Linked DNA regions of Ovis aries. The protein of the gene in region 1 purifies or fractionates together with the protein of each later gene. This does not show direct contact. Links are inferred from orthologs where the notes say so. Each region holds a gene or a part of one and is shown on either strand. Other genes may lie near its edges. The genes, in order: P4HA2 and COL1A1.

Region 1 (3,805 bases):
TAGCGTTCAGCATATTAATTGCCTGATTCTTCCTGATATTCTCCCCTCCTTTGAATTCTGGGACACTGATCTCAGCTGTTTCTCTTTTGGCACCTCTCTCTCTCATTTCTTTTACAGGCCCTGTTTCAATTCAACTGGCTACCTCAGTATGTTTATAAGAAGATGTGTAGGGGTTTGGTTATTAAAGGGCAATAAACCCAGGGATTCAGTTAGACTCTGGTAGATCTTGGAGGCTCCCTCACCCGTGGGGACCCTGTAGGAGGCGCAGCAGAGGGAATCACGGTGTGTAGGAGAGGGAGGACCTGTGTTGTTGGCTAGTCAGAGCCTTGGCACTGGGAAGCCCAGGGAGCCAACAGGAAGATTGGGGATGTCTCCTTAATCCTCACTCAGTCAGATTTTGGATAAGGCCAGGAGGCCAGAGAGAGAAGGTGGCTTGAGGCACCTGCAGGATCCGTTCACCCTATAGTTATGAGAATGGTTGGTGGGAAGAAGGAGCCAGAGCCAGGCATTGACCCTTCACATTCAGTAACAGCCCCGTGTGTATCCTGGAGGGGCAGTGAGGGGTGGATGCTGTTCCTACCTGGTGTCTCCCTAAGCACCTTCTCCAGGGGACCCTGTTCACAGTGCTTTACTTTTAGGGCTAAATCCAAATTCCTCTTAACACGTGGTCTTTGCGGTCCTGCGTGGTACCGTCTCCCTGGCCTCCTTGCCCGTTGTACTAAGCTTCACCACTGCTTGGCTTCTTTGTTCATCCCACAAACTCTGCAGGTTTACCTTTATGGCCCTTCAGCATTCAGCTCAGCTGGTATTCTCCCGAGAGCACTCTCCAGAGAGCAGACTTTCACACTGGTTTCTGGGAAAGATACTGAGTGTTTGGGAGCCATTCTTGACATTCTTGGTATCTGTGAGATATATGGTAATAGCTACTGTTTATTGCACTCAAAGGACTCATAGGAGACATTTTCATGTGACATTGTCTTCTTGAATTCTTGGCACAAGTCCTCTAAAATTGATGGCATTATCTCTTTTTAGAGGTAACAGACCAAGAATCAGAGAGGCTACGTAACTTGCCCGTAGTCACACAGCTGTTGGGTGCCATAGGTAGGCCCACACAGGCCTTGCTCTGTCCAACCGGCTCACCTGTGTTATGCTGCCTCCATCAGTGTTGAGTTCCTGCACCCACAGAGCCAGAGATCTGGAGGTTCATGGAGAGTGAACAAGGACTCAAGGATGCCTCCCTTCTCCCATCCATGGTCTTCCTGCTAACTCTGTCTGGTGTTTATTTTCCCCGTTTTCCTATCCTGTCCTACATTGTCTGTTCCTGAGCCATCCTGGTGAGCAGCCCCTGAAGCCAACCATGGCAGCAGGGATTTCATTCTGGGCATCTTGGATATCAGGCAGAAAGAGCCCACTCTGAGACAACTCTCCACTGTTAGCCATGCCTGGGTTGCTATTAATGGTTTTGTAGGGAAGTTCCTTTGCTTTCCAGGAGGGTCACAGGTTAAACCCTGCATCTCCCCATAGCTTACACATCACATCTCCTTCTTGACTTGAAACTCTCTTCATGGTCACTTCCAGCGTGAACCAACAGCAGATGACCTATGGTCAGAGGACCTGCGGAATTGACTTAACCAAGGGCCCCACCCTGGTGGCTCAGACGGTAAAGAATCTGCCTGCAGTGTGAGAGACCTGGGTTCAGTCCCTAGGTTGGGAAACCCCCCTGGAGAAGGGAATGGCTACACACTCCAATATTCTTGCCTGGAGATTTCCGTGGGCAGAGGAGTCTGGCGGCTACAGTCCATGGAGTTACAAGGAGTGGGACAGGACTGAGTGACGAACACTTTCCCTTTGAAGGGCCCCACCGCCTAGTGGTCAAAGCTGGCATTGCAGTCTTATTTCTTGCCCTCCCTTGGCATCTGCCGGGCCCCTCCTGTTCCATTTCTTCTGCCTCTTAGGTACTTCTCAGTGTTATTCACTCCACTGTTTCTGTACAGGTGGTCTCTGGGGCCCTGGCCTCAACTACTGTGTCTCTCTTTCCTGACACTTATTTCTGGAAGCATTTATCTTCATCCATGGCTTTACCTGCCACCTCAGTTCTGTTTTTTATATTCAAGTTATTTTTTCTAAACTTCCAGTCTCAAATGGTCAGCTACCTTGCAGACATCTCCTGTGAGGCACGCAGGACCTTTTTACTCTCCTGAGCACTACTTCTTGGGTATCCTGGGCTCCTCCATAATAAAGGCCCCTTCCCACTTGGAAGGAGGGGAGTCTGAGGATAGGAGACAGGCTGTGCACCCCAGCCAGAGACAGGGCCAGCATGGCTGTGCTTTCTGGACTCATGGCCCTTGGAGGTGTGTGGTCTGAAATCCTAGTGGGCCTCTGCTGGGGTGACGCCCCCACCTCGCAGGGGCCCAGGCTCCCACAATGGGGGAAATCTCTCTCCCTAACCCAGAGGCCCTTTGGAGCCTGACTACATGCCTCTCCGGCTGCAGGAACCAAGTACCAGGCCGTGCTGAGTGTGGATGACTGCTTTGGGATGGGCCGCTCGGCCTACAATGAAGGCGACTATTACCACACAGTGTTGTGGATGGAACAGGTGCTAAAGCAGCTCGATGCTGGGGAGGAGGCCACCACAACCAAGGCCCAGGTGCTGGACTATCTGAGCTACGCTGTCTTCCAGCTGGGTGACCTGCACCGTGCTGTGGAGCTCACCCGCCGCCTGCTCTCCCTGGGTAAGGAGCCTCTGGGGGAAGGTCAGGTGCAGATGGGGAGGTGGCAGGGCTGGCTCCTGTCAGGGACCAAGCCAGTCTGACCAGTTGCCTAGCCGGCGACCAATCCTTTGCTGCCTTCAGGCCCAGGCTAGCTGCCAGCTTGCTCTTTACCTACCTCGGTTCTGGCCTTAACCCTTGCCCAGTCACTGATGGATCCACTCAGGCCTGCATATCGATTTCTATTCCATTTATAAATGGGGATCCAGGGTTGCAGTCTATCTGCTGCTCTGTAGGGTGGAGCCTTTATTGCGTCCACAGTAGCTCGAGAGGCAAGCTGTATTTCAGTGTTGCTGCAGTGACAGTTACCTGACCTGGTATTAGAGGCCTGAGGTCTAACTGATGGACTTGCCATGGCTCTGGTCATTTAAGTGTCCTGTGATGTTAGACTGAAGGAGATCAGAAGCACTGTGTCTCAAGAACCTATTTGTTCCTCTTCTTATTAATATTTGGGATATCATAGTTTGGGATTTCACTGGCCAGCAAAGGCTTCCTTTTGCTGCTGCTTTTCATGGGTCCTGCATCTGAGGCCAGCTAGTGTGGATGTCTGTTAGATGGATATGGGAAGAGAGCTGTGTAGACTCTGTCATGTTAGTAAGAGCCTTGGACAGGGAGTCGGGTCACCTGGATTCCCCCTCTGAATAACCTCACGTTAATTTCCTCACATCTTTGGGCTTCAGTTTCCTCCTCTGAGGGGTGGCTCAGTACTCCTGCCTGGCTTGCTCCTTCGTGTCGTGAGGCCCATAGGACAAAGCTGTGGGAGTGTCATGTGGCTGTTCTTGTTGCTGGTGTTTCAGCCTGCCTTCTCGCTGTGGCCAGGGCGTGATGCGCTCACCAGTAATGGAGCAGATGGACTCTAGGGCATGGATGAAGCTAGCATGCAGCCAGGTTGGGAGGAGGAGGCAGAACTCTGGACTGCTTCTCTGGACCCGTGTCCTCAGGATTTCCAGGGAAGTCTGAGAGGAGATCTGCATCAGTGGCGCAGCATCCCTTCCACCCCCCGCTTTGTTGCTCCGTTCTCATCTCTGACCAGAGTG
Region 2 (3,805 bases), on another chromosome or scaffold:
TCTGTCACCCTTAGGGCCTGGAAGGCCAGCTGCACCTCGTTCACCAGGCATTCCTTGAAGGCCAGGGGCACCCTGGCTACCAGGGGCTCCAGGGGCACCAGCATCACCCTATGTGACAACCGATAAGACTGGAGTGAGACTTGGGATCTCAGAACTAGGTCTAGGTCACAACTTTGAGCCTCGTCTTAATTCCTCCCAGGCCTGGTCCTGAGGCCAAAGACAGGCACTAGCTAAGAGAAAAGGCTCACAGCCCAGAACTTCAGGCTGCACATGGACCCTACCCTAGTCTTGTCCCTCCACCCCTCCCAAACATCTAGCTGGCTTTGGTCCCAGCCAGGCGGCCCCCACCACTAGAAGGGTGAGACCTGGTCCCCATGCTGCCCTTACCTTAGCACCATCGTTGCCAGGGGCACCATTGGCTCCACGGGGACCTGCAGGACCGGGCGGCCCTTGCACACCACGCTCGCCGGGGAAACCTCTCTCGCCCTGGAAGGGAAGGACAGGGTGTGTGATGGTGGCTCCAGAAAGAGGCCCAGGTGCAGGGCATCTCTGTGATGCAAGAAGAGGCTCTACTTACTCTTGCTCCAGAGGGGCCGGGGGCACCAAGGTCTCCAGGAACACCCTGAGGGGGAGCAAGGGAGACAGTGAGCAAAACCCACCTTGGCCTTCCGCACTAGAAAACATTCTTGCCCACCTGGGAGCTAGCCCTTAGAGTCTGTGACTAGAGACCAACCCCTTCTGAGCACTGAACTGGGATTATCCTTCCTCGGGATGTGTCACCTTTCCTGAACTTGAGGTTGAAGGAAAGCCAGAGTATTCCAGCAGCTCTAAAAAGAAGTCATCTAGACCCGCAGCCATGCAGCTCCCTCCCAATCCTAGCATGCAGGGGTGCAGCTCTGTGCTCCCCTCTGTGTGGCGTCCTTCACGATGGGAAGCCCTTCCTCAAGTCTAACCTTGCTCCCTCTAGCTGACGGCTGTGTGCTTAGCTAGGAGGGCTGGATTCTCCCTCTGTGTTGCCTGCACTCCCCGTCTCTTCAGCCAGCTGTTACACCTTACCTGTTCACCAGGTTTGCCTGCTTCACCAGGAGGACCAGCAGGGCCAGGGAGACCCTGTGGGTGGGAAATGGGGGAGGGAAGCATGGGCTTAGAATCTGGAAGAAGTGTTCCTCACACCCCTCTCCCAATACCCTGACAGCGTGAGACCTCACCTGGAATCCAGGGGAGCCAGCAGGGCCTTGTTCGCCTCTCTCACCAGCGGGGCCCTGCATGGAGGGAATGCTGTGCTCATGGAAGGCCCAGAGAAGGGGGCAGGGGACTGGCACCCCTCTCCTGCCCTACAGTGCCCCCCTTCCTAGGCCTCCCTGTCAGGGACACTCACAGCAGGTCCTGGGGGTCCCTGAGCTCCAGCTTCTCCGTCTTTGCCAGCAGGACCCTGGGGAAAGAGTTAAAAAGGGGTTAGAGTGGTGAGGTGGGTGGGCAGCTGAGGAAGACAGCACAGGTAAGGGGCTTGGAGCTGGGGGTCCTGATGCCCTAGGAATGGGCTGGAGTCTCATATCCCTTCTGCAGGATATAGGGATGGGACATGGGCAGGAAAGTGACAGGAACCAAAAGGAGATACTTACAACAGCGCCAGGGGGTCCAGGAACACCTCGCTCTCCAGCTTTTCCAGGCTCTCCCTGGGGAAAGAGAGGTAGGGTTGAGGGAGTTGAAGTGGGCAACTAGGCCTCCTGGGTCCCTCCTGTTTACTTTGAGTGGCATTTTTAAGGAGCTGTTTCATCTATCAGCTCTGGCCCCTGAGGAAGGCCTCTGTTGGCTTCGACTGCTCCATCTTTTGGCCTCTCCCTGAGCCCTGTCCTCCCAGACACATGCCCCTTAGGCTCCTCTCTCACCCACTTCCCTTTCTTCTCCCCATCATATGCCTGCAGACACCTGAGCTCCGAAGGGCTTTCATTCCTTTGAAATCTCCTTTTGAGCCTCAAAGAACTCACCAAGATCTGGGGATGACTATCATGAAAAAGGCTCATCCTATCCCCAAGTGTGTGTGGGGTGGGGAGCGAGCAACAATACTTATTTCCAGGGATAGAGCAATGGTAGTGAAGCCAAGGAGAGGTCTCTCATTTTATGGAGTAGGGAAACTGAGGCCCAGAGGGGGGCAGTAAGTGGCCCGAGGCCACATAGCAAGTCAGTGGCAGAGCTGGGCCCAGACCCTGGACTCTTCCCCCCACGCCTACCCTCGCCTCAAGTGTGTATGTCCATGTAACACAACTCCCTGAATACTTACAGCAGCACCTTTAGGTCCAGGGAAACCCATCACGCCAGCCTGACCACGGGCACCGGGAGGGCCTGGGGGTCCAGGGCGGCCATCTTGACCAGCGGGACCCTGAGGATGGAAGGGACACGAGCAGAGGTGAGGGCAGAGGGCGAGAGGTCAGGAGGCGGACAGGGGCCTGGAGGAGGGATACTTACAGGGGGGCCAGTTTTGCCATCAGGACCTGGGCTGCCAGGGCTTCCAGTCAGACCCTGAGGGGGAGGCAGACAGGTGTGAGTGGAGCGGAGGATACAGGTGATGGGAGAGGGGCGGTAGGAAGGTGTAGGCCAGGAGGACGACATTCCAGAAGGCGGATCTGTGGTCCTGCTCCAGAGCCAACACAGGATGGGCAGGGTCCTGGGCCACTAACAGACAACAATAAATTCGCTGGGCAGAGTGCTGGAGTCTCACCTTGGCACCGGGCAGGCCAGCTTCACCGGGGCGACCAGCTTCACCAGGAGACCCTTTGGGGCCAGCAGGGCCAGGAGCACCGCGTTCACCAGCAGGACCCTAGTTGGGAGAGTCACAGCAATAATTAGGGTTTCAAGTCTGGGCCACTTCATCATGGGCTGGCATCCACCTCTTCCTCCTGGGCCATGGGGCTGGGTGCTTTGAGGGGCACTGGTGGTGGTGAGGAGGTCAAGGTGAGCTGAGTGTGACGAGGTCAGCAGCCCCCGTGTGGGCGCTAATGGACTGGGCGGTGGGGCTGGGAGGGGGCCGATTACATCCGGGAGAGGAAGGTAATGTCCAGGGAGCAGCAGGGTCAGCCTCCCAGTCGTGATGAGAGGTTTACCTTGGGACCAGCAACACCGTCAGAGCCAGGGAAACCACGGCTTCCAGGTCCGCCCTGGGGGAGGAGAGGAGGTCAGTGAGCTCAGACACATGGGCACCAGGTCGGCACTGGGGTGAAGAAGGGGGCACTTACACGCTCGCCAGGGGGTCCAGGCAGGCCAGCAGGTCCAGGTTCACCTCGGGCTCCTCGCTTTCCTTCTTCCCCAGCGGGGCCAGGGGGGCCTTGAATACCAGTGGGACCCTGGAGAGGGCAGAGAGGAGGGGGCAGCTTACAGTGAGGGGCTGTCCTGGTGCCAGCTTCAGAGTTGTCTGGAGGCTGGGTCTCCAGCACCGGGGGTTCCGCTTCCTCCCTGGACCACCCCCCAGGGGCTTCTGGGGCAGACAGACGGAGCTGCGAGAGGACTTACGGGTTCTCCCTTGGCACCAGTGTCTCCTTTGCTGCCAGGAGCGCCGGGTTCACCCTGAGTAGGGGGAGAAGATGAGTGAAGAACGGGTACAGTGCTCAGCTGGCCTGGCCCATCATGCTTCCCAGACAAGGGCCTCAGATCAACATAGGAGGTGGGACAAAAGAGAGACAGTGGTACTTACGCTGTTACCCTTGGGACCAGGGGGGCCACTGGGGCCCTGGGGTCCAGAGGGGCCTCGGGCACCAGGGAAGCCAGGAGCACCAGCAATACCAGGAGCGCCCTGAGGGAGGCAGAACAA

The links.
Region 2: the proteins of P4HA2 (region 1) and COL1A1 purify together in Homo sapiens (co-immunoprecipitation; 3 studies listed by BioGRID and IntAct, counting the BioPlex papers as one, with this or other methods). This does not show direct contact. The link is inferred for Ovis aries from reciprocal best matches to the Homo sapiens genes P4HA2 and COL1A1.

The regions. Positions count from the first base shown.
Region 1 is NC_056058.1:19,991,006-19,994,810, forward strand, and holds part of P4HA2 (prolyl 4-hydroxylase subunit alpha-2), read left to right. Parts: intron 1-2,492; coding exon 2,493-2,732; intron 2,733-3,805. UniProt on the Homo sapiens protein: Catalyzes the post-translational formation of 4-hydroxyproline in -Xaa-Pro-Gly- sequences in collagens and other proteins.
Region 2 is NC_056064.1:36,197,497-36,201,301, reverse strand, and holds part of COL1A1 (collagen alpha-1(I) chain), read right to left. Parts: intron 3,788-3,805; coding exon 3,689-3,787; intron 3,562-3,688; coding exon 3,508-3,561; intron 3,342-3,507; coding exon 3,234-3,341; intron 3,156-3,233; coding exon 3,102-3,155; intron 2,819-3,101; coding exon 2,720-2,818; intron 2,521-2,719; coding exon 2,467-2,520; intron 2,381-2,466; coding exon 2,282-2,380; intron 1,677-2,281; coding exon 1,623-1,676; intron 1,433-1,622; coding exon 1,379-1,432; intron 1,263-1,378; coding exon 1,209-1,262; intron 1,111-1,208; coding exon 1,057-1,110; intron 623-1,056; coding exon 578-622; intron 487-577; coding exon 388-486; intron 109-387; coding exon 1-108. UniProt on the Homo sapiens protein: Type I collagen is a member of group I collagen (fibrillar forming collagen).